7 linked regions of the Xenopus tropicalis genome follow. The protein of the gene in region 2 interacts with the protein of the main gene of each other region in a biochemical or structural test. Links are inferred from orthologs where the notes say so. Each region holds a gene or a part of one and is shown on either strand. Other genes may lie near its edges.

Evidence for each region.
Region 1: the proteins of ube2b (region 2) and rnf20 form a complex in vitro, tested with the Homo sapiens proteins (4 studies listed by BioGRID, with this or other methods). The link is inferred for Xenopus tropicalis from reciprocal best matches to the Homo sapiens genes UBE2B and RNF20.
Region 3: of the proteins of ube2b (region 2) and pcna, one has a biochemical effect on the other in vitro, tested with the Homo sapiens proteins (2 studies listed by BioGRID). The link is inferred for Xenopus tropicalis from reciprocal best matches to the Homo sapiens genes UBE2B and PCNA.
Region 4: the proteins of ube2b (region 2) and rnf40 form a complex in vitro, tested with the Homo sapiens proteins (3 studies listed by BioGRID). The link is inferred for Xenopus tropicalis from reciprocal best matches to the Homo sapiens genes UBE2B and RNF40.
Region 5: of the proteins of ube2b (region 2) and ctnnb1, one has a biochemical effect on the other in vitro, tested with the Homo sapiens proteins (2 studies listed by BioGRID, with this or other methods). The link is inferred for Xenopus tropicalis from reciprocal best matches to the Homo sapiens genes UBE2B and CTNNB1.
Region 6: the proteins of ube2b (region 2) and ubr1 form a complex in vitro, tested with the Homo sapiens proteins (2 studies listed by BioGRID and IntAct, with this or other methods). The link is inferred for Xenopus tropicalis from reciprocal best matches to the Homo sapiens genes UBE2B and UBR1.
Region 7: of the proteins of ube2b (region 2) and uba1, one has a biochemical effect on the other in vitro, tested with the Homo sapiens proteins (10 studies listed by BioGRID, with this or other methods). The link is inferred for Xenopus tropicalis from reciprocal best matches to the Homo sapiens genes UBE2B and UBA1.

The regions. Positions count from the first base shown.
Region 1 is NC_030683.2:57,237,584-57,241,793, reverse strand, and holds part of rnf20 (E3 ubiquitin-protein ligase BRE1A), read right to left. Parts: intron 2,823-4,210; coding exon 2,678-2,822; intron 2,456-2,677; coding exon 2,270-2,455; intron 2,128-2,269; coding exon 2,009-2,127; intron 1-2,008. UniProt on the Homo sapiens protein: Component of the RNF20/40 E3 ubiquitin-protein ligase complex that mediates monoubiquitination of 'Lys-120' of histone H2B (H2BK120ub1).
Region 2 is NC_030679.2:26,523,008-26,527,661, forward strand, and holds the start of ube2b (ubiquitin-conjugating enzyme E2 B), read right to left. Parts: upstream 3,260-4,654; 5' UTR 3,157-3,259; coding exon 3,113-3,156; intron 1-3,112. UniProt on the Homo sapiens protein: E2 ubiquitin-conjugating enzyme that accepts ubiquitin from the ubiquitin-activating enzyme E1 and transfers it to a E3 ubiquitin-protein ligase. In vitro catalyzes 'Lys-11'-, as well as 'Lys-48'- and 'Lys-63'-linked polyubiquitination.
Region 3 is NC_030679.2:123,021,675-123,026,669, forward strand, and holds the start of pcna (proliferating cell nuclear antigen), read left to right. Parts: upstream 1-1,732; 5' UTR 1,733-1,849; coding exon 1,850-2,070; intron 2,071-3,130; coding exon 3,131-3,228; intron 3,229-4,013; coding exon 4,014-4,081; intron 4,082-4,442; coding exon 4,443-4,637; intron 4,638-4,862; coding exon 4,863-4,986; intron 4,987-4,995. UniProt on the Homo sapiens protein: Auxiliary protein of DNA polymerase delta and epsilon, is involved in the control of eukaryotic DNA replication by increasing the polymerase's processibility during elongation of the leading strand.
Region 4 is NC_030685.2:13,689,491-13,693,700, reverse strand, and holds part of rnf40 (E3 ubiquitin-protein ligase BRE1B), read left to right. Parts: intron 1-188; coding exon 189-324; intron 325-425; coding exon 426-547; intron 548-872; coding exon 873-1,228; intron 1,229-1,455; coding exon 1,456-1,573; intron 1,574-1,735; coding exon 1,736-1,885; intron 1,886-2,461; coding exon 2,462-2,674; intron 2,675-2,927; coding exon 2,928-3,053; intron 3,054-3,173; coding exon 3,174-3,314; intron 3,315-3,398; coding exon 3,399-3,500; intron 3,501-3,756; coding exon 3,757-3,933; 3' UTR 3,934-4,210.
Region 5 is NC_030682.2:53,374,361-53,377,504, reverse strand, and holds part of ctnnb1 (catenin beta-1), read right to left. Parts: intron 2,374-3,144; coding exon 2,223-2,373; intron 1,226-2,222; coding exon 1,104-1,225; intron 759-1,103; coding exon 698-758; intron 402-697; coding exon 193-401; 3' UTR 179-192; intron 1-178. UniProt on the Homo sapiens protein: Key downstream component of the canonical Wnt signaling pathway.
Region 6 is NC_030684.2:105,763,775-105,767,984, reverse strand, and holds part of ubr1 (E3 ubiquitin-protein ligase UBR1), read right to left. Parts: intron 3,822-4,210; coding exon 3,691-3,821; intron 2,929-3,690; coding exon 2,787-2,928; intron 2,022-2,786; coding exon 1,959-2,021; intron 1,208-1,958; coding exon 1,084-1,207; intron 371-1,083; coding exon 254-370; intron 1-253. UniProt on the Homo sapiens protein: E3 ubiquitin-protein ligase which is a component of the N-end rule pathway. Recognizes and binds proteins bearing specific N-terminal residues that are destabilizing according to the N-end rule, leading to their ubiquitination and subsequent degradation.
Region 7 is NC_030684.2:532,702-536,911, reverse strand, and holds part of uba1 (ubiquitin-like modifier-activating enzyme 1), read right to left. Parts: intron 4,182-4,210; coding exon 4,091-4,181; intron 4,002-4,090; coding exon 3,869-4,001; intron 3,790-3,868; coding exon 3,692-3,789; intron 3,609-3,691; coding exon 3,462-3,608; intron 3,353-3,461; coding exon 3,176-3,352; intron 3,097-3,175; coding exon 2,986-3,096; intron 2,902-2,985; coding exon 2,821-2,901; intron 2,725-2,820; coding exon 2,569-2,724; intron 2,484-2,568; coding exon 2,318-2,483; intron 1,520-2,317; coding exon 1,323-1,519; intron 911-1,322; coding exon 846-910; intron 382-845; coding exon 186-381; intron 1-185. UniProt on the Homo sapiens protein: Catalyzes the first step in ubiquitin conjugation to mark cellular proteins for degradation through the ubiquitin-proteasome system.

The sequences.
Region 1 (4,210 bases), on a different chromosome or scaffold from region 2:
CAGACAAGGTGTAGGGCGGATTATTTTCGGCAAGCGAAAAAGGGCTTTCTGAAAATTCAGCCCTATGCCTCCTACATGTGCCTGCACCCGAATGAATGATACACGCTCGGGTGTAGGCACATGTAGCCCATTTACACAGAAAAATACGAGACTCTGCATTATCTCGCGTTTTCAACTAAACTAGAATTTAAAAGTTTATATATTGTGATTCCTCACAATCTTGGATTAATATCTGCGGGAAAGCCTTAAATTCTGACCAGACAGCACCCCCTACTGAGTTTTTTAAAGGGATGGTTTACCTTGGAGTTAACTTTTGGTATGTTATAGACTGTCCTATTCTACTAACTTTGCAATTGGTTGTCTGCCTTCCTTTTCTAGCCCTTTTTGTCTTTCAACTTCAGAAAGAACGCAAATGGACATATAAACTTGACTCTCTGGCAATATAATTGTGTCAATATTGTGCTCTCAGCTATATGATTACTTAAGTCCAGACAGGGGACCATAATAATGTCATTGTCCACATATAGCTGCTCAGATGCACATGAACTCACTACTACCATCTACCTTTAGTGGCTGCAACAGATTTACCCCAGATATGTTCTCCTGATGTTACATGACATCTAATTGTGTCAGAATCTAATGATCTGTTTGTGCCAATCATATAACTGGGTAGTACTAGTGCCGGGTCCGGTGAACCTGACCGTGCCAACCAATAGACCCATTTGGTTGCTACTTGCTATGCCCCCGCTTTCTTACTGCTTAAGTACTTGCAGCTTTGTACTGCTACTGTTGCAGAGGGTAGTGCTAATCACAAAAGCAGGTATGCATTTCTGAGGAAGGAGGGGCATCCCCCGAAATGTTGTGTGCAGAGATCTCGATAAACAAAAAAGTTATTTAGCGCAATTGCTGAATTTTGAGTGCCATCTGTAACAGTTCGATGTTGTTACTATGCATTGGGCTCCAGGGCTTACAGATTTGAACACCACATCAACTTTTGAACATTATTTACAATTTGTAAGGATTGTGAAATATTCTCTATGACAACACACTTCAACAATCCTTCCTGCACTGCTATGTGAATGCCGGCTTAACATACGTGCGCTTCCATGACAACACACCTTAGTTTTTATGAGTGTGCTCCGGGTGGAAGTAGTTCTGAGAGGGTCTGACAGACTTAGGTTCCCTGACCAAGTTACAATAATGGGGGAGGATGTGGCACTCCTCAAAAAATTGAGTATACAATGTTGTTCACTTCTAAATGTTGGATACAGACTGCATTCACTCTGATTATTTCACACATGCTATTCTGGCACGATTTCTCTACACTAGGGTATTTAAGTTTGGGTGGAGGGGTAAATTCTGTTTGTGTGTCTTGGGGCTCACAAGAAGAATGAAATGTTGACATTTTGATATATATATACCAAGCAAAAGATACCGCACTCACAGGACTTACTTGAGAAAAAGGTGATTTAATATTCACAACATAGCACTGACGTTTCGGCTGTCTCCACAGCCTTTTTCAAAGAGACAGCCGAAACGTCCGTGCTATGTTGTGAATATTAAATCACCTTTTTCTCAAGTAAGTCCTGTGAGTGCGGTATCTTTTGCTTGGTATACATCTGGAATTTATAATACTGCACCCGGGCATCCAGTGACCTTTAAACGTGAGTGCCGGCTTCTTGAAAGATATATATATATATATATATATATATATATATATATATATATATATATATGTATATATATGTATGTAGAAACAGAATCGCACTCCCAGGACTTGTGAAAACCATACCTTTCTGTAATTTAGGTCTCCATACCTTAAGTCTACAGAAACATCAAACCTAATAGACTCTCCAGTTAGTTATCTACTTATGTGCAAAACATATTATTAAAATGTATGACATGTTTTCTCAAAATTACAAAAAATGTCTATATTTAACATTGTATAAACAAAAACTTATATATTTAACATTATTTTCATTAACCGGTTACAAAAAAACCCACTGACCTCTTGGGACATATTCTGCTGTTTCTCTTGTAGCAAGTTACAAATCTCCTGCAATCGTGCATTCTCATTTGAGAGCAAGGAGTTTAAATCCCTGACAGCCTCTTCCACGTGAGATGGATCTATAGAGAGAGTCGGAAGATACAGGAATAGAGATGTAAAAGTTCTTCAGTGTGGTAATAACAAAATTAAAGCCCAAGAAAAATAAAACTCAAAAAGAATAAAATGGAACAAAAATCATAAAATTGAAAGACTGCTTCCCACCAGTGCTATTCAGTTTCTTGGCAAGATGGTCCAGTTGGTCATGCAGTCGGTCATACACCAAAACAATACGAGAGACTGCACGTCGTGAAGATTCTACACGTTCTTGTAGCTGAGATTCAATTTCTTCACTGCTGCTGCTGGCCAGAGTGGCCAAAAAGGAAAGAGGAGCTTCCCATAGTCCTTCGCCTACAATGAGTTAACCAGTCAGAGATTGTTTGGATTTTAGTTTAAAGGTTCAATACAAAAGAAATAAAAACCCATTTTATGTTACAAAATCTAAAAAGTTTCCTCAGTTTTTTATTTCCACTGAAAACTGATTTACTTAGTGGATATTTATTGTTATAAACATCATCTTTTTGAGAAAATAAATGGTGTTCTTGTTCACCACTATCCCTCCCTACTGCTTACCCCTTTCATTTTCTTTGCGTTCTGGATTGCTGTCAGAATCTGGCTCTGGCTCTGGCAGAACCAATGCTTTGCGTTCTGTCAGAAACTCCCCCAAGTCTTGATCCAAGTCATAACGACCCAAAAAAATGCCAATATTTTCATCAAACTGCAATAAAAGATTTTAAATGAATGAAAAATAAAAGAAATTTAGGGCATAAGCAGAAAAAATGAAAATGTGGCCATTTCAACATGCCTCTTCTATACATCAACAAATAGGTATTCAACCGCACAGCCCTTAGATCAGGCTTGATGCATCAATCCTCGCAAGGCACACCGCTGAGCCATTCAATACAATCCAAATATAGAGGAGAGCACCATAAAGCAGAATTCTGCTAAAATGCTATTTATTTCAGACAAAAAAACACAACATGTTTCGGGCAGTGTGACACACTTGATAAAGGGCGTCACACTGCCCGAAACATGTTGTGTTTTTTGGTCTGAAATAAATAGCATTTTAGCAGAATTCTGCTTTATGGTGCTCTCCTCTATATTTGGAATGCCTCTTCTATACATATGTGTTTGTGGCTTTATAAATATTTATGTGTTATACACTGAGTAATGTGGACTGGACAGTAGTCAAAGAGAAGCAACTGGGGAGAGCATCTACACACAGCATCTGAAGTGATCAGGGCAGAATGTGAGGGCTGCAGACCAGAGGGAAGCCATGATCAACTGGCTAGAGAAAAGGAACCAGACCATCATGTTCTGTGTTTGTGGGTAGCTATAATAAGGTAGACTTCATTATTAATCTGTAACTAATGTAAATATATTGTTTTGTTTTAAATAATCACTTAATTTTAACAGTCAATTGATTTGTTATTCAATAAATTCATTTTATATACACTTATTGGTGTGGATTATTTGTCTGCTTCTCAAAAGAAGCGTAACCCTAGTAAGAGGGGTGATTAATATATTATTATTACATATTTATTTATATAGTCAGAATCTTACACTATACTCTTATTTTCATCAATTTCTTTACATTTATGCAAAATTCATACTTTTGCTATCAATTTTACATCCTTTAAAATTAACATTTTAATACCCAAGGCATTATCCCTTCACAACAAAATCTGCAAGTTTTCTTGCGAGAGACCAGTAGTTCAAAGTTCAAAACTTTTTATAAACTGGTCACAAGGACATGAAACTAGTGTAATTTTAAAAACTTTAGGCTATGATAATATGATTTAGTGGCTGCCTTGTTTTGAAGTTCTTCACAATCCCCAGATTTGAACTTTATTAAAAATCAGTGGGCTGATTGCAAGCCAACCTAAGAATAGATCTGAATTGAACTATTATGTGTCTACAAGAAACATTTGGAGGCTAATTCTGATAAAGTGGACATGCCCGAACTGTTACATATGCCACTTCTTATGTTTTGTTTTCAACAAATACATTTTGTTTGTGCATTAACCCTTTCACTGTGTACTCAGGCTCAAAACCCACGCTCCTTGCTGAATTTACAAACCAAATTCCATCGCTCCTGTGAAAGGT
Region 2 (4,654 bases):
CTACAGAAAGGAGGGAAAAAGGTTACCATCTTATTTAGTATATATCTGCATCAAATTTAATACTGAAGTTGGGTGAACAACACACACCCAATAAATTACCATTACATTAACAAAAATAAACAAAATCCTGTTACTCCAGAGAACTGAAAAGCTTGTTGGCAGGGAGAGACAGCAGATCTGTGGTATGCTTACATGAGGGACAAACCCCACACGCAGAACATAAATGTATTCTTATCCATATTCCTTTTATTTGCATAAAAACAATTTTATAGAGATACTATCATCCTATAGTTATGTGCCATTTAGAGGTACAAGAAACATTATTCAGCAAAAACTCGAGTTACATTGTATGCAATGCTATGAGTCTCATTTTGGTGCACACTATGCCATTTACAACAATAGACATTCTGAAAAATCAAGTTTTCTTATCAAGTGGGTATATATACACACACACACACACAGGTATAGGACCTGTTATCCAGAATGCTCGGGACCAAGGGTATTCCGGATAAGGGGTCTTTCCGTAATTTGGATCTCCATACCTTAAGTCTGCTAAAAAATCAATAAAACATTAATTAAACCCAATAGGATTGTTTTGCATCTAATAAGGATTGATTATATCTTAGTGGGGATAAATTACAAGGTACTGTTTTATTATTACAGAGAAAAAGGAAATTAGTTTTAAAATTCTGAATTATTTGATTAAAATGGAGTCTATGGGAGACGGGCTTTCCGTAATTTGGAGCTTTCTGGATAACGGGTTTCCGGATAAGGGGTCCGATACCTGTCTTGGCAAAAAAATGATAAGTTAATTTAAGCAAAGAAATCCTTTCTTTGCTTAAATAAACTTATCATTTTTTTTGCCAAGTCCTGGTGTGTGCAGCTCACTGTCTTGCTTTATATATATATATATATATATATATATATATATATAGCGCCTAACTTCTAGCGCCATTTCTTCTATCTGCTTCAGTAGTAAAGTTGTGGCTCTAGGTAAGAATCGGAATTCCAGGTTTGTTTTGCATTTATTGTATTACATTTGAGCAGATTTGCTGGATGAGGGGGCAAACACATGTTATATGGAAGAAGTCAACTGGGTGGGTGTCACATCTGGGACAGTTCTCACCAGGGCATTTTTAATCACCAAAACCTATAGTAGGAGGAATACAAATAGAAAAAAAAAACCCTTCCGCTTAAACAAAATTGAAGGGAAGCCAAAACAGAAGCCGAGTTCTGAAATGACATAAGACTTTAAGAGCTTCACTGTGTGGCTGCTACAAAACCGGTATGGATGCTGTCTGTATATTTTATTAATAAGGTGCTACTTGTGTATGCATCACTAACAGGAGAACAATACACTAATAGGAGTTAATCCAAAAATAAAAACGAATAAATACAAAGCACAAAGTGATACTCAAGATTAAGTGCTGAGCGTTAAGGACCCAAGTGGAATGAGGTTCCCTGACATTCTTGCTTTATGATGCAATAAACTGACCTAAAAAAAACAATGTTAACAATACAAAGATGTTTGCCCAGCTAAAGATTATATTTATCTGTGCAATAATGTACGTTACAATAAATGGATGGACTGGATACTTTTTGCTTTTGTATTTCTAGCAGACATCAATATGTCATCAAATCACCAAAACCAATAAAACAAGTGATTGTGAAGTGTAGTCAATGTTCAGAATACCTTATCTACTAATCACATTGCACAACTGCCAAAAACAAAGCTGTGGACAACAATGCAGGACTAAAAATCCAATTAAGTAATTAAAAACATAAAAAAACATAATGCAAAAAATAAATAACTGATCAGTGGGGCCCATTTATAAACACCAGGCAATTCTGTACATGTGCAGTAACCAACAGCAACTAATCAACATTTTCTCTCTTTTTTTTTTTCAACCTGGTGAATAAAAACAAATCACTGGCTGGTTGCTATAGGTTTCTGCCCAGGTGCAAATTTGCCCAGGTGCAAATTTGCCCAGTATTGAACAGCACTCTGTACATTAAGTAGTTCTATATAAATATACATACAGTGTTGATCAATAATCCAATGTAAATGTATTGGTCAAAAAAGCTGATTCAGTATTCACAATGCAGACCAAATAGATTTTTATGTGCGGCCAAGCATGCAAGATAAAGCAAAATTGGAATTCTGGGAAAATGTGTTTATGTGTAAAGCCTTTTAAAGAGCTGGAAGGCAACTGCAGGACTGTACCAGCAGCAGAAATGGGGCAGATAAGGCTAAAGCTAATGATGACCAGCATTTCACTAACTGCCAGAAAACCTTTCAACCACATTGCTGGCAGTTCATATCTTTGGCTGAGGGTGTAAAAGGTGGCCAAACAGTACCTTGTACTTGAGCCTAAGGTATAATTAATCCTTATTGGAGGCAAAATAATGCTATTGGGTTTATTTAATGGTTAAATGATTTTCTAGTAGACTTAGGATATGGAGATCTAAACTACGGAAAGATCCCTTATTCTGAAAACTCCAGCTCCTGAGCTTTGCGATTAACAGGTCCCATCCCTGTATGTATTTTTGGATGTGGGTGAGGATATATCTTACAAAACAATACAGATAAGCACATGGCAGCATGGGGATAGAGGGGCCGGCTGCACTAGCACACACTGCCCACTATAACAGCCATAAAAAATACAAAAATAAACTTTACAGATAAAAAATAAAACCTAGCAAAAGTGAAATATAATTGTGGGGTCTACTATAACTCATTGGCCAACTGCTCTATGCTGCAAAGAGATCTTCCATACTGTTCTCTATAGATATTTAAGGAGATGAACTGGCCTAGTGCTTATAGCCAGCAAGAAGTGGGGTTTTGTGATTTTCAGTGTCCCTAACATCTTCCCTTTACGGGTACTGATCCACTGAACGCCCAGGAGGCCTCAGGTAACCCCCCATATGCTGCAAAACTACAACTTCCAGCATGCCAAGCGGGCAGAAGGCGAGAGGTGTAGTCCCACAAGAGCAGAAGCGCCGAAGGTTGCCTGCCCCTGCCTTATACACTAGTCGTGTGACTTGGTGGCGGAGTCGAACGGAACTCGCAGTGAAGCCGATGAGGGAAGGAGCCTGTAACAGCCCTACTCACCTCTTGAAGTCCCTCATCAGCCTCCTCCTGGCCGGGGTGGACATTGCCCCTGAATAGAAGCAGTACGGAGGGGGAAGGGAGGGAGCCCAAACCCGGCCGCCGCTAACTCAGCAACCCTGGCACAAACAAGCCGCAATGACGTTGCTCAGTGCTCCCAACATGGGGCTGGACCAGAACGTTTCATAGGACCGTACCAACTACACCGGAGAGGGAGATTCCGTGCTAAGCTGCCATTTTTGCAAAATGTTGCCCCGAGATTCACTGCGGAGTTTAATAGGAACATTTGTTTTTTATTGTGACGCGGCATGCCGTTTTCTTGGACGTGGGGCAGTGTGATTTATTGCTGACGATCACCCCTGTCATCCGTACGAATGGTCGCTTCCATAAGTGACAACTCAAAGTTCCTGAGGAGAAGCGTTGCATCATATCACGTGGTGTTTGAGCTCGGCTTTCCTGGGAGGGTAGCTTCGGTGAAAGTTGATGGTTCTGTAGAGTATTCTTTATAGCGAATAAAGTCTCTTACTGGAGATGCTACAAGTATGGTTCAGCACCACCAGTAGGCACACTGTTTAAACATTCCTGTTTTATATAGTCTGCAACTGAAAACTGCTTGGAAATTGTATTGCAGAAATATAGTCAGAGAAAGATATGGCACATGTGCCTGGGTTGTATGAATAACATGCACCATAATAAGTCACATTTATTATCAGTTTAATAAATATTTGTCTTCTGAAATGATTGTGGTAATACCCCAGGCTGTTAAAACTGGAAAGTGACCATAATGTAAATTTCAGAGATAGTAGTTCTTTTTAAAGAATGGGTTCTGCCAAACCATCTGCATATTTGAACACTTGGTAATCTCATCAGTTGCAATAGGTGATTATTGCAGAAATAGCAACTGATCACAATTTGCAGGGACTGTCTTAGATCTTGATATACAGAGGAGGAAATAATTATTTGACCCCTCACTGATTTTGTAAGTTTGTCCAATGACAAAGAAATGAAAAGTCTCAGAAGAGTATCATTTCAATGGTAGGTTTATTTTAACAGTGGCAGATAGCACATCAAAAGGAAAATCGAAAAAATAACTTTAAATAAAAGATAGCAACTGATTTGCATTTGAATTTTCATTGAGTGAAATAAGTTTTTGAACCCCTACCAACCATTAAGAGTTCTGGCTCCCACAGAGTGGTTAGACACTTCTACTCAATTAGTCAACCTCATTAAGGACACCTGTCTTAACTAGTCACTTGTATAAAAGACACCTGTCCACAGAATCAATCAATCAAGCAGACTCCAAACTCTCCAACATGGGAAAGACCAAAGAGCTGTCCAAGGATGTCAGAGACAAAATTGTAGACCTGCACAAGGCTGGAATGGGCTACAAAACCATTAGCAAGAAGCTGGGAGAGAAGGTGACAACTGTTGGTGCGATTGTTCGAAAATGGAAGGAGCACAAAATGACCATAAATCGACCTCACTCTGGGGCTCCATGCAAGATCTCGCCTCGTGGGGTGTCAATGATTCTGAGAAAGGTGAAAA
Region 3 (4,995 bases), about 96 Mb from region 2:
GTTCAGTCCTGCTTCAACAGTGTAATCAATACCAACTTGGCCTGCCTCTCCTTTTAACTAAAGGTGGCCATACACATACCAATATTATCATATGAAACTTTGTTTCTCATGATATTCGGTGTTTGTATTGAAGGAGACGAGGTGACTGATATTGCCAAAGGCCTTGAATATCGGCCATCTCATCAATCAAGCGGGATAGAAAATTTTGATCTGGCACGTTTGAAGGTGCCTGAGAAAAGGCAATTATTAAGCTCTGAATCATCAGATAGGGGTAGAATTATTTTATTTCTAACTACATATCTGACAATTCAGCTCTGAATGATAGAGGAGGGTATGACCAATGGTTGCAGGAAAGATTATAATTGTAATGTGTATGGCCACCATAAGACTTTCCCTTAACCAGATTAGTTAGAATGGGTTTACAACAGCAATGATCAACAGCAGTCTGTAGGATGCTGCATAAGGATGAGTGAAGCCTCAAAATGTAATTTACAAAGAATATGTTACGAATCCAAACAAATTGCTCCAAAAAGTCTGTGTCTGATTTAATACAAGACCTATATTCGTTCTGGTGACAGTCACAATATATTGGCTGTGCCTTGATCTTGCAGATGGTGCAATTTTTTGATCTTGTGGATGGTAGTACTCACAGAGCCTCAGGGGATTTTACTTAACCCTGAGTCCATTTGAGCTTCAACACTGGCTGTTCTGGGGCAGTAGAGCTTTTGTTTTTTGGCCTACAAACAAGGCTGGAACACTTAGGGGCTAATTCATTAAACCATGATTTTTGGGTGGTTAAAATCATGATTGGAAAAAATTCGGAGTAACCACAAAAATTCTTTTCTCGTACGAAAATATCGTGGTTGCGTTCCGAATTTTCGGATCTGAACGTTCGTAAACAGTGTGAAAACCTTTCTGGCTTTCATAGTCTTCCATAGGACTCAATGGCACAGATCCAACCTGGCCAAAAGATAGTAAGATAGTTTACCAAATTGAATTCCGAAATGGTTGTAGTCTTTCCAACTTTTTGGTAGAAGTTAACGAAAACCATGAAAAAGTCATGGAATTTTAACAAAATTATTGTGGACATTGTGAAAAGTTCTACAAATTAGAAAGAATAAGATTTTTTCTCAAAAACAAAAAGATTGTGGTTTAATGAATGGGCCCTATAATTTTGCAAGTATTCTGGCCTTCGCAGCATGCATTCCTATATTTATATCTCCACCATTAATTACATTGGCATCAAGCATTATTTTTACAGGCCAGGGCAGTAAAATTTTGGGCTCAGGTGGCAGCCCTGGGGTAGGGAGTAAAGGTGGTAGAGAGTGATTGGAGGTGTAATGGGGCATGATAGTAAAAAATGTAAAACATAGAACTAATATGTCTGCGGTTTAATATATAAAAAAATTAATGACCCCATCCTTTCTGCATTTTCAGGGCCCCAGTAACTAAATGTCCTTTGGGTCTGTTGTCACTGACCAGAACTAGTATAGCTAATCCAACAAATTACAGTTATTTATATTTATTTTTCATATTTATTAGGTGTAGAGTTCATAATGGGGCACAAGCAAAGCTTATATAACGGAGACCATGGTGTTTCAGTGACAGGGACTGACTGCACAAGGAAAGATATGAGGGGGCGGGTCATAATTTTGGCGCCTTACATTCGTATAGTGACATCACCACTATAATATAAGCGGCGGAAGGCCGGCTGGCGGGCTCATTTTGGCGCCGGAGCTTCAGTTGGGAGGAGGTACCACAGAGGTACTAGGGAATTCAGCTACTGAGCTCCGCCATCTGCACCCCCGGCACACTTCTCTCTTTCCCCCAGCTCCGTACAGCCGTCACCATGTTTGAAGCTCGCTTGGTGCAGGGTTCCATCCTGAAGAAAGTGCTGGAGGCCCTGAAGGACCTGATCGATGAGGCGTGCTGGGACATCACATCGAGCGGCATCAGCTTGCAGAGCATGGACTCCTCGCACGTCTCGTTGGTGCAGCTCACTCTGCGATCGGACGGCTTTGACACCTACAGGTGCGATCGCAATCAATCCATCGGCGTCAAGATGAGCAGGTAAGGAAGCTATGTGGGCGCTTAGTAAGTGCGCAGCACTGCGGAGATCACTAGTTGAAGGGACGGGCTAGTGCGGCAGGCTTAATGCGTCCAGACTTTACTATTGGGTACACGTAGCGCGATACACGCTCTCATTTTATTGTATTTGGCGCAAATATGTATTCCATACATACATATTCCCCCCCCCCTCTGTCATGGACTTGGCCGATCTACTCCCCCCCCCCCCGCCTCTGTCATGGACTTGTCCGTTCAAGTCTCAGTGATTGCGCGCGCAACCTGGCTTCCCGCGTGACGTCACATACGCGCCAACTTCAACAAAGCCGCCGGCTTGGCGGGAAACCGGCTCATTGTGCCAAGCTTCAGCAGTGCGGCCACTCTAATCCAAATGCCACAGGATAGTTGGAAAATAAGAATTTTATCAATGAACCGAAATAAAATTATTTTCCTTAGTGTTGCCTCACTTTGTCTAACACTTCCCCTACACTTCACTGAGGCCCACAGCTGCTCAGTGTCTTTTCTTTAATGGGCCCTCATGGGTTCTATGTATATCTTTATAAAGCGCTACTTATGTACTCAGCGCTGTACAGTAAAATACATTAATACAAATGGGGTTAAGATAATAGATACATACAAAGTATAACAATAAATACAAGATACAGCTGCAATAAGTTAAGAGTCAAAGAGACAAGAGAATGGAGGTCCCTGCCCCATATAGCTTACAATCTATATAAAAAGGTAAAAGGAATACGCTGCTGTATGCATCTGGAGTGTTGGAAAGCTCCTTCAATGGGGATTTTTTTGTGCCGCCTTGCTTAGACAGGGCCCCTGGTTTACTCGGATTGTAAGCTCTACGGGGCAGGGACCTCCTTCCTATATATATATATATATATCTTGTCCTCCCTGTGTGTAAGCTGCGTACCCTTGTGGTGCTTTATAAATAAAGTTATACATACATACATTGGAGTAAAATGCCCAGGTTGCTTACCAAGATGTCTACCTTTGCCAGTCTCCTGTTTGGCATTATATATAACTATATATCTATCTTTACTTTTTTTCACAGTATGTCTAAGATCTTGAAGTGTGCTGCAAGTGAAGATATCATTACTCTGAGGGCAGAAGACAATGCTGATACAGTTACAATGGTGTTTGAGTCGCCAAGTGAGTATTTGCAACATTACACTTTGGTTTTCATACCCTTCATGCCAATAAGTAAATTCTTTATTATAGTAGCTTGGTGCTTATTTCATTGGCTTGGAAGGCAGGGCTAAAACAGTTATAGGTAATGGAACTTTTTAATGGATTTTTATAACTATAGTATCTTGATTAATTTGTGCTAAAATAGAAACAAGAAATGCTTGAATTACTGATTATACTGTACCAGCCTTCAAAGTTGTACAAAGCAGGTAGCCATCTTGGCTCTTTTTGTGGCCTTGTAAAATTTCCTTCTGACATCAAACCATGTTAAATTCTGATCCAGAAGGCACTGGTCACTACTGATAATAAATTAAATTAAATTAGGCTTATGTTTTAAATTAGTGTGCATATACTGTATATTTGTGCAGTTTAGAAGTGAAGTTTAGGGGTTGTTGTAAATCATTAAAAAAAAAAAAAAACTAGGTTTCTGTCATAGCTATTACAGGGCATTATTAAATTCTAATGCTAATTGCACTGGTTTTTAAGGTGCCAGTGATAAGAATCTGAAATACTATTCAGCCTTATCTTGTGACGTTTATATTCCATATATGTACAGTATATTGTCGGTCCCTAAGCACAGAGCATGGGCAGTGAATCAGCAGAAAAGATGTGGAAGCTATTTGAGGGCACATATCTTCCCTGCTAAAGGGCCGTGTTTGCCTTGGGCTGGTACAGAACCTCAAACAGTGAAGCATTTCTGCCCAACGTTTTTGTTCTGCTTAAGTTTAACTTAAATGTTTTTAATTTAGATCAAGAGAAAGTTTCTGACTATGAAATGAAGCTAATGGACCTTGATGTGGAGCAGCTGGGCATTCCTGTAAGTATATTTTTTTAATGTTTAAGTTGTTGCTGATTTTTGTCTGCTTACAAAACAGATTCGCTAGGATCACTGTTCAAAACGTAACTGGACACTTTTTGATTGTCTATTAGTTATTGCAAAATTTAAACCCAAAGCAGTGTACACTCAGTTTGTACACTTCAGTTGTTTTGGTTTTTATAGTTCCAGTCTTGGGGTTTCACAAAGTTCTAAGGGGGTAATATACATGCTGCTTGTAGAAACTCCCCTTCCTCTGTACCCATGGCAGTTATGTGACCTCTTATGCCAGTCTAAAGTAACCCTGTCTAATGCAGTTAATTTTGGATTGCACTCTGCTAAATTGTCTGGTTTCTCATGACAGGAACAAGAGTACAGCTGTGTAATAAAGATGCCATCTGGTGAATTTGCACGCATCTGCAGAGATCTAAGCCAGATTGGTGACGCAGTTGTTATTTCTTGTGCAAAGGATGGGGTAAAGTTCTCTGCAAGTGGAGAGCTGGGCACTGGAAACGTAAAGCTGTCACAAACTTCAAATGTGGATAAAGAGGAGGAAGCTGTAAGTGTTTCAAAACCTATAGTGTCATTTTGAAATGTAATAGTGCCACTGTATATAGATGTGACAAGGTTCCCCCAGTGTGACCCTTGGTTAATTCCCACGTTGTACACTTTCCTTCAACCCCAAGTAATAGTAGACAAGACCACAGCAAGTCATAGCTTTAAAACTTTGTTAGACTTGAAGTGACCATTGTTTTTTTTTTTTTTTTTTTTTCTTGTTTACCAGGTTACAATAGAAATGAATGAGCCAGTACAGCTTACATTTGCTTTGCGGTACCTGAACTTCTTTACCAAAGCTACACCCCTGTCCCCAACAGTTACACTCAGTATGTCTGCAGATATCCCACTTGGTGAGTATA
Region 4 (4,210 bases), on a different chromosome or scaffold from region 2:
TAATAATAATAAACTCTACCTTATAAATCCACATTCTGGGTTTCTAAGGTAGCAATTTTTAGGTTGGAGAGAAGCATAGTAGTCAGATGGATCATTTAAATAAAGGCAGAGACCACTCTGTGCTTGGAGGACATTGCTTATGTTGTATCCACCCTATCAGATGCAGTCAGTTCTTGTTTTTGTTTCAGAGCGAGGAGCTGTCTGTACAAAAGAAACTGCGCACTGAAGTGATCCAGTTGGAGGATACGCTCGCCCAGGTGCGCAAAGAATATGAAATGCTGAGGATAGAGTTTGAGCAGAACCTGGCAGCCAATGAGCAAGCAGGTAAGAGCAAAGCGTGTCATGTAGCGGAACATGATGGTAACCACAGGACACAGCACATGGCCCCAATGTTTGCTCACATTCGGTATCCTTGCCTTTATCAGGTCCTATTAATAGGGAGATGCGGCATCTCATTGGAAGCCTCCAAAACCACAACCACCAACTGAAGGGAGATGTGCAAAGATACAAGCGCAAGGTGCGAGATTCCCAGGCAGAGGTGAGCAAGGTGAGAGGGGCTTCCCCAGAGTGACCTATTGCAGCTGGCATGAATGGAAACTGCCCGGGGCCTAGAACCTGTTCCGCTGTTTGATACTGGAATGGGCACGTGCTGAAAAAATGGCTATAAAGCAACAGTTTTATTTCAAGGGTTTGTCTAGGGAACCAAGATCAGCTTGAGAGCTGAACATTCCACAGATATAAGTTTGCGTTTTCAGATCATGGGAAAGTGAGTCCCTGACTGTATTATTACAGCAACCTTTCTTCTTTTATACTTTGTAACTGATGATTTGCCCCTCTTATGGTTCCCGCTTTATCGCCCCTTGCTTTCCCAGCTGCGTTTTCAAATCGGCGGACCACCCTGTCCTCAGCCTGGATCTTCAGGATCGGAACCAACGACCCCCGTTACTGTCAAAGAGGAAGAAGTAGAAGTGAAGAAAGAACCCCTTGCAGTCGTGCCACGAGAGCCTGAGACTCCCACTACCCCTGAAGTAAAAAAGGAGGAGGAAGAGCAAAAGAAAGAGGCAGCAGAGCGGACCAAAGCCCGGGAGAGGGAGGCGGAACGGGAGCGAGACAAAGATCGGGAAAGAGACAAGGAAAAGGAAAGGGAGCGTGAGAAAGACAAGCAGAAAACAGATGAGAGCAAAAGGAAAGACTGCGACATTCTGAAACAGCTCCGGGCAGAGCTCAAGTAAGAGAACTTTTCCTTCCCAGTTATTGCACATTGCCGATTCCCCCCGCCAACTGCTGCCTGCTTTCCATTCAGTCCTTCCCATTGGATTATTCACATAATCAGTTGTCTGCTTCCCTGCTTCTGTTTATAAACTGTTGCAATCCAACCAGCCAAATTTATCAACCCTTTACATTTAACACACTGCCTCCCACCCCATTCACATGACTGTTCATGTTCCTTTTCAGGAAGGCCCAGGAGAGCCAGAAAGAGATGAAGCTGCTGCTCGATATGTACAAATCTGCCCCCAAAGAGCAGAGAGACAAGGTGCAGCTGATGGCAGCGGAGAGAAAGACCAAGGCCGAGGTGCGTCTCTCTGACCTACAAATACATGCGTGGCTGATGGTTGCACTGTTGGTTATCTACGTGTTTCTGATTGGTGCAGGTTCTTGCATTCTGATTGTGTACATGTATTATAGAAGGGATTATATCATGCACTCTGTGCCTGTTTCTGCCTTTCTATTGCAGATGGAGGAGCAGCGCACGCGGGTGCAAGCTCTTGAGGAGAAAGACAAGAGGGAGAGGAAGAAACTTGCAGATGAAGAAGCACTGAGGAAAATTAAGATGGCTGAGGAACAAATAGACCATTTACAGAGGAAACTGACTGCCACCAAACAGGTAAGAGACAAAGGGGCTGTTTAGGAAATACAGACAACTTAGCAGACTCAGGAACACTGGGGGTAAAAGGCTGCTCCCACTAGGAGTAAAGACACATAGTAATTGTGTCACAATTTAACTCTGCTTTGCTATTTTAATGTGTTTCATACAGCAAGGAAGTGTAAGGATAAGCACAAGGGATACTTCCAGGCAGCCACGGACAACAGGGCCAAGACCTAAGTCTGCCCACCTTGGGGCTCATTTATCAGTACTGGGTAAATTTGCCTATGGACTTTAACCCATAGGGACATTTATGTGAATGACTTTTTTTTTAGCCAGCTACAGAAAAAACAATAAATACAACAGTTTGGTTGCCATGGGTTACTGCCCACAGGCAGATTTGCCTATCGTTGATGAATGAGCCCCTTTGTGTTAGTCCCACAGTGCTGGATTCCTGCTCCTAAGCGCCAAAGGGCTCTTGATGCTGTCTAAACAGAGCAATTAACTCCACCCTGGCCCTGTTCCCTATGTCATTTGGCCTATGGAATTCCTGGTAGAAATAAATATTAACCCTGCCTATTTCATTTCTAAACGCAGGAGGAGGAGGCCTTACTGTCAGAGATGGACGTGACGGGCCAGGCGTTTGAGGACATGCAAGAACAGAATATTCGTCTGATGCAGCAGCTCCGTGAGAAGGACGACGCCAACTTCAAACTGATGTCCGAGAGGATCAAATCCAACCAGATACACAAACTCCTGAGGGAAGAGAAGGAGGAGCTGGCTGAGCAAGTGCAAGGGCTGAAAGCCCAGGTAGGTACTTGCTACATGCAAAATGGGTCAAGAAAGGAACCAATACTTTCTGTATTTGGGTTTTGCTGTCAGTGGGGGTCTGTGGTACTTTTCCCATTTCTTTGTTCTCTATGGGTCATTTAAAGTGGGTTAATGGATCTTTGGCCACTAGAGGGAGCCTTTTGCCATACTGTTCACTTTACATCGCTACTGCTTGGTGCCAAAAGGTGTGTGTTATTATTATTATGTAACACTGTTGCTGTGTGTGTCTCAGGTGGATGCTCAGCTGTTACAGGTACAGAAACTGGAGGAGAGAGAGCGCCTCTTACACACGTCTTTGACTTCCATTGAGAAGGAAGTCACTCTTAGAACACAGTCACTGGAACTGAACAAGAGGAAGGTAAGCGACCTGAATTATAATTTATAATTATGCTCATTGCTGATGCTTCTGATTCCTCTGCTAAACAAGAGCTCATCGTATTGCGCCATTATAACTATATACATTTATGTTGCTTTCTAGGCAGTCGAGGCAGCCCAGCTCGCCGAAGACCTGAAAGTGCAAATGGAGCATGTAGGGGAAACGCTTAGGGATACCCAGAACTTTGTATGTGAGAACCGAAGCGCTAAAGAAAAGGAGTCCTTTAGTCTCAAAAGAGCTCAGGTAAGAAGCTTGACCCACAGAGAGTGCCTTATTATCCGGCCCATTGGGTGTGTTTCACTTATTCAGGGGTTTGTGCCTTTACAGGAGGATGTATCTCGGCTGCGAAGGAAACTGGAAAAGCAGAAGAAGATGGAGGTTTATGCAGATGCTGACCAAATCCTACAGGAAGAGATTAAAGAGTACAGGGTAAGTAAGGGGCAGTGGGTCGGGCAGGGCACTTAAGACTATTTATTAGTTGCTTTGAGAACATCAAGTTGGAATAAAATCCGCAAAGAGCGAATGGCCCTGGGTTTGTAATGGCTCCGGGTCAGCTCTACAGACAGGAAGAGGCTATAGCAATAATGTGGTGGTTAGAAAGAAATGCTTTGCAATGTGTTCTGGGTACTGACACTTTCTCCTTCTCTCCCTTCCTCTGTACTTCCCACCCCTTCGGCACTTCCAGGCCCGACTCACTTGCCCTTGCTGTAACACTCGGAAAAAGGACGCCGTCCTCACCAAGTGCTTTCACGTCTTCTGCTTCGAGTGCGTGAAGACCCGATACGAGTCCCGGCAGCGCAAGTGCCCCAAGTGCAACGCAGCCTTCGGAGCCCACGACTTTCACCGGATTTACATCAATTAAGGGGCGACGCGGTAGGCTCTGCGATTAACATTGGCACAAGGTGCATCCGTTTGGACCGTAATGTGATGGAAGTCCGTGATTGGTTACCCAAACAAACTGATGCCCCAGTATCTGGCAATCCCACCAATGGCTGGGATGTACTCCTCAGTCACCCTCATTTTAAGGGGTTGGACAAGGATCCCCATGAATGGGGAGAGGGGGAGAAGTGGGCAAGTAATGTCTGTTCAGAGTGGACAATAAAGAGACCCGTAGGACCAAGCTGTTTGGCGGAACCTTC
Region 5 (3,144 bases), on a different chromosome or scaffold from region 2:
TTAATAACCCCGTTTGTATTAATGTATTCTACTGTACAGCACTGTGTACATAAGTAGCACTTTATAAAGATATACATACAGACAATTTGTGGGGGTTAAGATTTAACTTTTATATTAAAAATATGCATAAAACAGGAGTAACATTAAAGTAAAGAGATCTGCTTACATGAAGACTTACCAAAAAGTAGATATTTACAAGTCAGTGTCAAACCAGGCCAGTTGGTTGCTATCACCTGGAGGCAGGCCATCCATAAGATCTTGGGCATGACTCAAATCAGGAAGTCCATCAACTGGATAGTCTGCACCTGGGTGATGACCTGCCATGTCATGATCCATCATTGAGTCCATACCCATTGCATCCTGGCCATAGCCAGGGGCATGGAAAGATCTGTAGCTTGGATCTAGATCAGAATTAAAAAGCAGTTAGGTCACATCCAAAGCCTGTCAATGTGTTAACCAAGATATACTTGCTTTACCCAGGTACACAGTTATAAAGTGCTGGCATGACTATTGAAAACGGTATATTGAATAGTTTGTGTATATGTAACATGTTAATGTATTAAAGCAGCTGTCTGAAAAAAATTGTTCCCTTTAACATTTCATTAAAACTACAAAGACTTTGGCAGCCATTTACTTCAGGTCTACAATTTAGGCTCTAGTTATAAATGGGCCTTTTTTTCACCAAAACACAACTTACCATCCTGTCTGTAGCCAAGAGGTTCACCTTGGGCACCGATATCAAGACCAAGGTCTGCAGCCTGAAAAAGTATTTACTTTATTATTACACAAAAATATATGTATACACACTACCGATACTCTAGATAATTTTGTATTCTTATACAATTTGTGTACATGAAAATGCAGCAATTTGCAACAGAGCAAATACACCTGCAAGTAACTGCAATTAAATGCAGCTTTAGTGACATTTTGAAAGTGGCATTGCAACTGTTGGCCCTAGAGTAAGAGCTAAAATCATGCAGAAATCAGGACATGGGACATCTAAACTGAAGCCACTTTTCATGGGAGCCTTCTGTGACATTAGAGTAGAAGATTTAAATGTATGAAACATTAATGTTTATAAGTGCTAAGTAGTTGGTTCTGACCTCATTCCATGGCATTGGCTCTGTTCTGAAGAGTGAGCTTGTTAACTCCACTGAGAGACGCTTCTTGTAGTCCTGGGGTTTGTCCTCAGACATACGGAACAGAACAGCAGCTGCATAAGTTGCTAGAAAGCAAAGGAAAGATTGTTAATATTTATAGGCTCTACAACACCAGACCCCTCAAGCTTTTGAGAAGGCAGAATCCGATGATTAGTTGTATAATCCTCTCTAGTGAGGGACAAGTCTTACAAAATGTTTAAGCTTGAGCCCAATATGCATACCTTGAACTTTGATTCAATGTTGGAAGATGCTGGGATTTTAAGCACAACAATCTGGGGTCTCAAGGTTACACAATATCAAATTTGGCACTTCTGTACAATGTGTACTTTTTCTAAATTCTTAAGACACATTTTACATTCTTCATTGTGTTTGAGAGTGGGCTTATCTGTGGACTAGTAGTTACTAAATATTTGGCAGTGACTGTAGTCACTTATTCTGCAATTTTAGTGCAAAGTACATTTGTATTAAAGGAAAAGTAACGCTAACATTTTTTAAGTAAAAAAATTCTATTCTACCCTGCCCCAATAATTGCCCTATCATGCAAACCACTTAGTATTTTGAATTCTTTATTAGAAAATACCCGATTAAACAGCTTTAGGTCATTTGAAGTAAGGCGATAAAGCGAAGGAAGGATCAGCATCCACTTTGCGACAATCTATCGAGCCAAGCCCGACTCCTTCCTATACAGAAGGAAGGCTAGGCTCAATCGATTGTCGCAAAGTGGACGCTGCTCCTTCCTTCGCCATATTGCCTTACTTCAAATGACTGGAAGCCCAGTTTTAGCACGTATTTTCTAATAAAGCATTCAAAATAATAAGTGGTTTGCAGGATAGGGCAATAACTTGAATTTTTAGTGTTACTTTTCCTTGAATAGGCAAATGTGTTTTGCATAAGTCAGTTTACTGAAAAAAAAAAAAAAAAGGTAGACTTCACGTTAATAAAAGCTAGGGTTTATTGTCCTTTTTGTACTTATGTTAAGTTGAAAAATGCAAAAACAAACACTTTAAAAAAAAAAAAAAAGGGCTAGGGTTCTTAAAGGTACAGCATACTACAAAAACTTACCAACTCCTTCATTTCTAGAGTGAAGCAGTTCAGTAAGAGGAGCAGTTGCACCTTCAGCTTCAATAGCTTCAGCAGCCTCTTTGTCTTGTGCCAGTTCACAAAGTACACCTGCTGCCACTCTTTGGATGTTTTCAATAGGAGAGTACAGCAACTACAAAGAAAAATTTTAAATGTTTTACCAATTGATACAGGTTAGTGCACAAAGAAGTTATTAGTATGGTTTATTTGCCATGGAGCATACGGCCAATAGTCTGAACTTTACCGAGCTTATTTATATGAAAGGTGTGAACAACATCTAGCCCTGTGCCGTCTAAAGGTGGCCATACACAGGTAGATTCTAGCTGCCGATATCTGTCCCTTGGACCGATTCGGCAGCTTATCGGCCCGTGTATGGACACAAATGATGGGCCTGCCCGACTGACATCTGTCCTGGAATCGGGCAGATACTGATCGACAGGTTAACAAATTTAGTCAGATTGGCGACATCAGCTCGTTCATATGGCCCCTGAACAGACTATATACTGCAGTTCTAATTCGGTCGGAATTAGCCTGAAATCACCCAATATCGCCCGCCTGTAGGTGGGGATATCGGGAGAAGATCCGCTCGCTTGGGAGATACTGCCCCTGACATGAGCTCCTCCATAGATTGGGGAAGATTTAGTTTAACCTAAGTCAGGAACTGGTACCTGTAAGCAAAGAAACAATCATGGTTTCCATTTAAATTTGTAACATTTTGGGCTAGCCAAGCCAGTAGTGCGTTTAGTTTAAATATACTGCAAAATATTCTAGCAGTGTTACTGTTTAATAAGCCAAGCATGTCCTCTTTTAGACAATTTTTAAAAGGACAGAAATCCACAAGTTCAAGAAATAGGGCTTGGCTGAAAACCTGTCTCCTCTTGATTTAATCATGAGCAATGCAGTG
Region 6 (4,210 bases), on a different chromosome or scaffold from region 2:
CATACTACTAAATAAGTGTATTATTATAAAAATTATTTATTACAATGAAGCAGGGATTGTGTGCAATATATTTTTTTAGAGAAAGGGAAAAGATATTTATTCATTGTATACAGAAGATTACTGTATTTATTTGCATTTATGTACATGTATTTGCTTAGGAGCTGCTAATATTTCTTGCCTTAGTAAATGTAAAAGATACATGGCCAGTGACACTGCTGTCACAGGGTGCTGGTCAGTTGTCTGTTGTACTTGCCTTTATGAAGCTTGGAGTCCTTTAAAATTAACAAGCTGACATAACAAGTGTGATTAAAACTGCTAGGCTTTGGCTCTTGCTCTAGGCACACTTGACAGAAGATCTGTCGGAAGTCACCTGAAAAGAAATGATTCATTTTTGAACCTCAAATGACAATGTATATAAAGGTACATACATATACACTAGACTAGAAGGAACAGCAATGTTTACAATATTTATATAACATTTAATACACTATATATACAGTACAGGATTCTCGGCCTAATCCACCCAGTTGGGTAAGGGCCTAAGCGCGGGCAACAAAATTTCCCCATCCGTCACTACCCTTTATATTTCTTTAGTTTTAGAAGATAGAAACAACTAAAGTTAAATATTTTACTCACTATTATGCTTCACTTGCATGTGAACATTGCAAATTTGTTTGTACAACGATAAATACAGAAAATATTGGATATTTTATATTATATAAAAAGAATATTGTACTGACCAAAAATGAAGTTAGTTAACAGCAAATGTATTTTCAGTAGTGATGCTCAGACTAAAATTTAAAAATGAAACCAGTAGAAGGCACAATGTTAGAGAAAATGCCACATCCTCTGGACATATAGTTACATAAACAGATTTTCAGCCATAACAGGATTTCAATTTTAACAATTAGGGGAAGAACTTTCCAACTACACTCCTTCCTGGTAGAGTAGCTATCACTGACAGAAAGCAGCTTTGTTTTTAATGGCATCTAAAATAAGTTGCTCAGTGCACTCGATCTTGAGTGAAGATACCACACATGGGGAAAGACATTTTTCACAACAAGAACATTAAGAGATACTTACTAGAGTAGGCCAGGAGTTTGTTAAGCCAGATTGCTAAACACAGTGCAAAGCTTTGATGGGCCATTACATGACCATGCAGCACCTCCACGTGGACAGGTTTCAGCGACACGTTCTCTGAATTAGCCTACCAGAAAAAACAGGGGTAGGGGGATAATGATAAATCTAATGATGTTTTAATCATTTGTTCAGTATTTTTCACCTCAGAGAGCCCTGAAAATATTCAGGAAAATGCTACTGATTTGAAAAGGCCCATGTCTCTTTACATGACTATTACTAAGCTAACCAAAATGCCACTGAAGTATCACACACAGAAATAAGCATTATATTGAACAATACCAAAATTGCAACTGAACAACAAAAACCACTTTACTTTTTATGACAAAAAATGAGTGTGTAAAATATGTTAGTGTACACATGTCAAATTTTTGGGTGTCTGCTGTTGTTCTGCTGGGACTCCAGGGGCAAACATTTCCCTACCTGGCTGTTTGCCTAAGGTGGGGGGGGGGGTTGTTTACAAAAACACTAGACATGTTTTAAAGTTTAGTGTTACTTATGCTGCCATAAATGTGCAGATTAAACCTCTTGACCTACCCTCTCCAGACACAGTTGGCAGCTTAAGGGCCTGTGTACTGGGCCCTCAGGGGAAGTAAGAATCACCAATGAAGCATTACAGAAGCCCTTTCTGCCTGCTGTCAAACACCACTTCCCTGTTAATGGTACTCAGAGCAGCTCTAAGACTGACGGCACACTAGATTAGGGCTATGTCACATGTGGTATTTTTTGTCTGCTATCTCTGTTCGTCCCTTTCATTGGCTACATGGGGAATCAGAGGGAATAGTTCATGGGCCACAATTATCACAACAATACAGACTTACCTTTAGACTTTCTGTCACCTCCTGGCATTGCTCTAAAGTACCCTTTTTAACAGCTTTGCGGCCCTATAGGGGAAAGAGCATTAAAAAAGGACAGTTTCATTCAAAGTAATAAGCTATTCTCTAATAGCCCACTAGACTTTTACACAGGCATGGAATCCAAATGAAGACAGAAAATAAATGTTAGGTGGCTATCCTACAATAGTGTTTAAACATCTTTAAACATTAACTTTAATCCTTTCAAATGAGCCACAGTGCCCATATATATACACACTTATACAGACTTATCTATATACTCGCATATATAAACTATACAGTAATTTAAATTATCCACTAATTTAAATGGGTGACGATCATTTCTGTAGGAAAAACATCCGCCACTATCTGTCTACAATGTTTTGTAATGTATTTCTAAATATTAATCATGTCCCTGGGTGGAAACTCCCTGATTCCATGACCAAGCAGTTGTTCCATGTGAACCCTGTTTGGGTACCCAAGTAAATTAGAGGCTCTCCATCCCCCACCTCCTCAAGGTACAGGTTAAATTTTTTTCCTGACCTGATTGATGCTCTACTGCAGTGACATTACTTTTGATTTCACAGATTCGGGTCCTGTTAAAATTTAACACCTTACAAGTAGGGTCAGGCAGTGGGCAGTGAGGATGGAGCATAGTAGGTCAGTGGGTTTGGGTCAGGTTTTGGGTCCGAAGATGGGTCTGTCCAACTGGACCCATGCAGTCATTACCAATTCCTATGTTCTATAGTTCTAAGGCAATAAACCTGGCTTAACTATTACAATGTAAAAGTTATTATTCCCTTTGGTATAACTGACCTCTCTCTCAGCTGCACTGGTTAATGTCTGTGCTTCTTTCTGATCACAACCAAGCGATCTCTGCAAACTGTAGATGAAGTGATCATAGGTGTGGTGTTCATCATTGTAAAGTACACAGTAGTACTGGTTCCACTCCACTGTCCTGCAAGGACAGGATGCTGTTTTATTAACGGTCACAACATTAACAGCACAAAGTTATCGAAAACACCAGTGACAATACCAAAAACATTAGCAGTAATCCAAAGAAATTACATTTATTAGCATACACCCTAATTGAAATTACAGTTGAGATGTTTTCATTTTAAGGCTAAAGCCAGACAGGGCTTATTTTCAGCCTGCATATAAGCGCAGGCTGAGGATCAGCTGATCAACAGGCATCTGCTTGGTTGTGTGTCTGCACCTGGAGCCACTACATCAGGCTGGTTGCAACACACAAAGCTGGTTTTGGCACTGAAATGTGTTTCGGCGCCAAAATCTGCTCCATGTCTCTGCACTTGGGCAAATAAAGTGGCTCTAGATGCTCTACTGAAAACATTACTTGAGATCCTTTTGTCTAGTGCTAATTTAAAGACAAACAAATTCAAGTTTAACTGTAAATATGAGGTATAAGGTCGATGACACTTGAGGAGATTAGTCGGCCCATGATTAATCCCCTCTAATTGTGGCGACTAATCTTGTTGAATGCCTTCCTACTGGTGAGAATGTAAAAGCATATGGGTCGGTTTTCTGAAGTTGCCTTGTAAGGAAACTTTGGAAAGCTGAATTGACAAACATGTTTTTTTTTACCAACAATTTACATCCTCACCAGTAGAAAAGCATTCAAGTTGGTTAGTTGCCAACACCAGAGGAGATTTATGGCACGGCCACAAATCTCCTCATGTGTCATTGGCCTAAAGAGACATACCCTGTATCCAGATATGCTGGCAAACTCTTTTGTTCTTCCCAGATTAACATGTCTACTATATACCGGATAATCAAAGGGAATACTATTTTGGTTTGGGCCAGAAGTTCATCCTTCAAACGAAAGTCTGAATTCTGCAGGGAAAAGAAAGAAAACGTGTTATTTAAAGGGAAAATATCATTAAAAATTGAATGTATTTTTCACTAAATCTTTTTTAAATTACTTTATATTCTATTCTATAGTTTCTATTTGCTAAACATATCCAGTTTCCATACAGCTCCATATTTTTAAACTGGAGTTATTTTTCAAAATCGTCCCAGTACCATAGCCCTTTTATAACAGAACATGTTCTCTGAAACTCACTGAACACCACTTCAGAATTTTAAACCCTTAACAGAATTAAGCAGACTGACAAGAAGGATGAAAGGAATCACCACCATAATCCATACAAATTTTATAAGGTGTACTTTTATAAATGCTGGAAATATTAATAGTAATGTAACAATAATTAAAGGAGCAAGTA
Region 7 (4,210 bases), on a different chromosome or scaffold from region 2:
GGGGGGAGGGGGCAGGTAGGTAAGATGATGGGCGAGGGGGTTGCACTCTATGGTCAGGGTCGGTGGTGTAACTATAGAGGAAACAGACCCCCTCCCCGGCCAGCTCTTCTACCCAGACTGGAGCAGGGAGGCTTTGCAGGCCGGGCCCCTCCCAGAATTCCCTTTGCCCCCCCCGGGCAGCTCACCTGATCGGGAGGGAAGTTGTGCAGTAACTGTCGGATATTGTTGGAGTACTGAATGTGCCAGTGCTTACAGGCCCACGTCACACAGTCTGCCCAGCTCTTGGGCCGCTCCGTCACCAGGCTCTTATACACCGCCTCCACCACCTCCAGCGGCTGCGACCCCGGCAGCTTCAGCGTGCGCTCCATGAACTTGGGGTCTCTGAGGGCGAACGGAGACAGGCGGCGTGAGAGACAGCCAGAGGCGGGGGGAGAGGAGAGACAGCCAGAGGCGGGGGGAGAGGAGAGACAGCCAGAGGCGGGGGGAGAGGAGAGACAGCCAGAGGCGGGGGGAGAGGAGAGACAGCCAGAGGCGGGGGGAGAGGAGAGACAGCCAGAGGCGGGGGGAGAGGAGAGACAGCCAGAGGCGGGGGGAGAGGAGAGACAGCCAGAGGCGGGGGGAGAGGAGAGACAGCCAGAGGCGGGGGGAGAGGAGAGACAGCCAGAGGCGGGGGGAGAGGAGAGACAGCCAGAGGCGGGGGGAGAAGAGAGACAGCGAGAGGAGGGGGGAGAGAGACAGACAAGTCAGTGAGAGGTGGGGGGAGAGAGACAGCAGAGGAAGAGCTCAGACCCCAGGGGGCCCGTGGGGCAATATCAGCTGCCCATTCCCCCCCCCACGTTACTCACGTTAAATACTGGTTGACGTTTTCAGCCGGTTGTTTGAAGAGCCCCTCAAACTCATCCCGGGCCCACTGCAAGCACAGAAATGGGGCAAGTTAGTTATGGCTCCCAGCCCCCCATCAGGGCACAATGGCCTCACCCATGGGGCAGCACCCTGCCCCCCCCATCAGGGCACAATGGCCTCGCCCATGGGGCAGCACCCTGGCACCCTGCCTCCCCCATCAGGGCACAATGGCCTCACCCATGGGGCAGCACCCTGCCCCCCCATCAGGGCACAATGGCTTCACCCATGGGGCAGCACCCTGGCACCCCCATCAGGGCACAATGGCCTCACCCATGGGGCAGCACCCTGCCCCCCCCCCACATCAGGGCACAATGGCCTCGCCCATGGGGCGCACCCTGGCACCCTGCCCCCCCCATCAGGGCACAATGGCCTCACCCATGGGGCAGCACCCTGGCACCCTGCCCCCCCCCCCCCCTCACCTGCAACGTGTGCTCGATGGCATTGGGGAAGTTTTTCAGGGTACAGATGGGGATGGATTTCTCAGGGGGGTCCTGGCTGGAGCTGTAGGACTCGGTCAGGAAGGGGATGACCACCTGAACGTTCCCCTTTGTGCCCAGTGTGCCCGACTCCAGGAGAGGCTTCCGGTAATACACACAGCGCCGGTCCATATACATCCCTGGGGGTACAGAGCTGGGTGACTGGCCAGGAAGGCAACCCCAAAACAGAGGACCCCCCCCCCCCATACCAACAACTTCCAACTACAACTGTCAGGAAGTTGGTTTCCTTCATGTGCACTTACATCAAATATCCCCGACTACCTCCCTCCCCCCCCAGTACCCCACACCCCCATCCCTGCCTCCCTCCCCCCAGTACTCCACACCCCCATCCCTGCCTCCCTCCCCCCAAGTACCCCCATCCCTGCCTCCCTCCCCCAAGTACCCCCATCCCTGCCTCCCTCCCCCAAGTACCCCCATCTCCATCCCTGCCTCCCTCCCCCAAGTACCCCCATCTCCATCCCTGCCTCCCTCCCCCAAGTACCCCCATCCCTGCCTCCCTCCCCCAAGTACCCCCATCCCTGCCTCCCTCCCCAAGTACCCCCATCCCTGCCTCCCTCCCCCAAGTACCCCCATCCCTGCCTCCCTCCCCCAAGTACCCCCATCCCTATCTCCCTCCCCCAAGTACACCCATCTCCATCCCTGCCTCCCTCCCCCAAGTACCCCCATCCCTGCCTGCCTCCCTCCCCCAAGTACCCCCATCCCTGCCTCCCTCCCCCAAGTACCCCCATCCCTGCCTCCCTCCCCCAAGTACCCCCATCCCTATCTCCCACCCCCAAGTACCCCCATCCCTATCTCCCACCCCCAAGTACCCCCATCTCTATCCCCGCCTCCCTCCCCCAAGAACCCCTCCCACAGAACAGTACCCCATTACACCCCCCCCCCCCGGGTGGCGCTATTGGGCCTCAGGCCCTACTCACTGGCATCAATATTATCTAGCGCATTGGCCACACCATCCAGAGCTTCGAAGAAGTCGTCGTCATACACCTTCTCGGTCTCGGTGCCCACGCGGTTCTGGTGCGCAGTAACACGCAGGTTGGGATTCATCTGCTTCACGGCTGCTGCCGCCGTCTCCGATTTCATTTTCTGCAATGAGGGCAGAGAGACAGTCAGAGACAGTCAGCGCCCGGCGTCAGTGCCCCGGCACACAGGAGAGACAGCCCCCGCTCACCGTGACATCCCAAGGCCTAAACAGGAACTGGCGATTCAGGTTGGATTTCTCTATAGTGTCCATGTCCGTCACAGTGATTTCCCCGCCTTCTCCTGCTGCCAAGCCAATCATAGCAAAGTTCTTTAGCAGCTCACAGCCAATGGCGCCGGCACCAACCTGCAGAGAAGGCCATATATGTGCATATCAGTACACTGGCAGCTATACCCACCCCCCCCGGGCACTGCCCCCTGCCTTGCCCACCACCGGACATACCAGGAAATATTTCTGCTTGCCCAGCTGCTCCTGGAAGGTGGAGCCAAACACCGCAATCTGCCCATCGTAGCGGCTGTTCTTCTGCAGAGAGAAAAGCACAAAGGTGAGAGGGTAAGGGGCAGGTAAGGCGGGAGGAGGGGCTTAACTGTACCAAGTCAGACTTACTGGGCTGCAGTTCTCCTCCGTTAGGGTGGCATCGGCATTCTCCTCAGGCAGGCACTCCAGGGCATCGAAGTACAACCACTGCATGATGGGCATGAACTTGCCAGAGCAGGCCTGCGCGGGAAGGAGAGTCAGAGGGGCCACACCCGTCCCCCCCCCCTTACCCCTCACATACACAATAGGGAAGATTTACCTTCATTGCTTCCTGGGCAGCCAGACCCCCAATAAAGGCATTGATGGGCGCAAGGTTGCCCCGGGCCTGGTATGCCAGCTGCTTGATGAGGCTTTCCTTCACCTCCTCCTGCTTCACAGCGCCAGGGGCACCCTCATTAAGGGTCTGTGTGAGTGCCAGCACCTCCTGGGCATCAGCCTGCAGGGGGGAGAGAGTGGTGAGAGCGGGCACGGGGTGGCACACACTGCCAGGCACACAGCTGTTTCTGGGTATACCTGGCGCCGGGGCAGATATAAACCCACCTCACCTCATTGTGGGCCTTAGGGAGGTGCCCGTGTTTCTTGCGGAACTCATGAAGCCCCTGGAAGCCGAGGTGCAACTGCGCGGGGTGATCGAACTTGGCGAAATCCGTGACCAGGAAGTCTGGCTCCTGCAGCGATTCCCGCAGGGGTTTCTGGGGGGCAAGCAATGCCCGGTTATAGGGGTGCACAGCACAGACTGGCACGACATGAAGCAGCACAACTGGCAGTTACTCACAAAGCTGATCTTCTTGGGCATCTTGACCTGAGCGACGATGCCCCCGCGGACGTAGTCGGAGAAGCGGCTGGTGTCACATATACTGAAGGTGTAGGGGCCTGCGGGCAGGGGCACGGGGTTAAAAGGGGTGGGGGGGAAGGTTGTGCCAATATGCGGGTCGGTACCGCCAAGACTCACCCAGAACCTTGATCTCCACCGGCTCGCAGCCGTTCAGCTCCGTCATGCCGCGCACCTCAGTAAACGTGACAAAGTCGCCAGTCTCAAAGCCGTGCCGAGCCTCATCCAAACAGGTCACCACCCCGGGGTTATCCTGCAGAGCAAGACGCACAGATGGGTGCCATAGAGTAAGCAGCGTGGCACAGTGACTGCCAGTGCCCTCGGGATGCTCACTGCCCTTACCTTAGTGATCATCGATATCATGGCGCTGAGCGGCTGCTCCCCGTTGGGGTCCATCACCACCATCTCCTTCCCAAAGTCACAGAAGAGCTGCCTGTAACACAGCAAGAGAAGCCCTCAGCA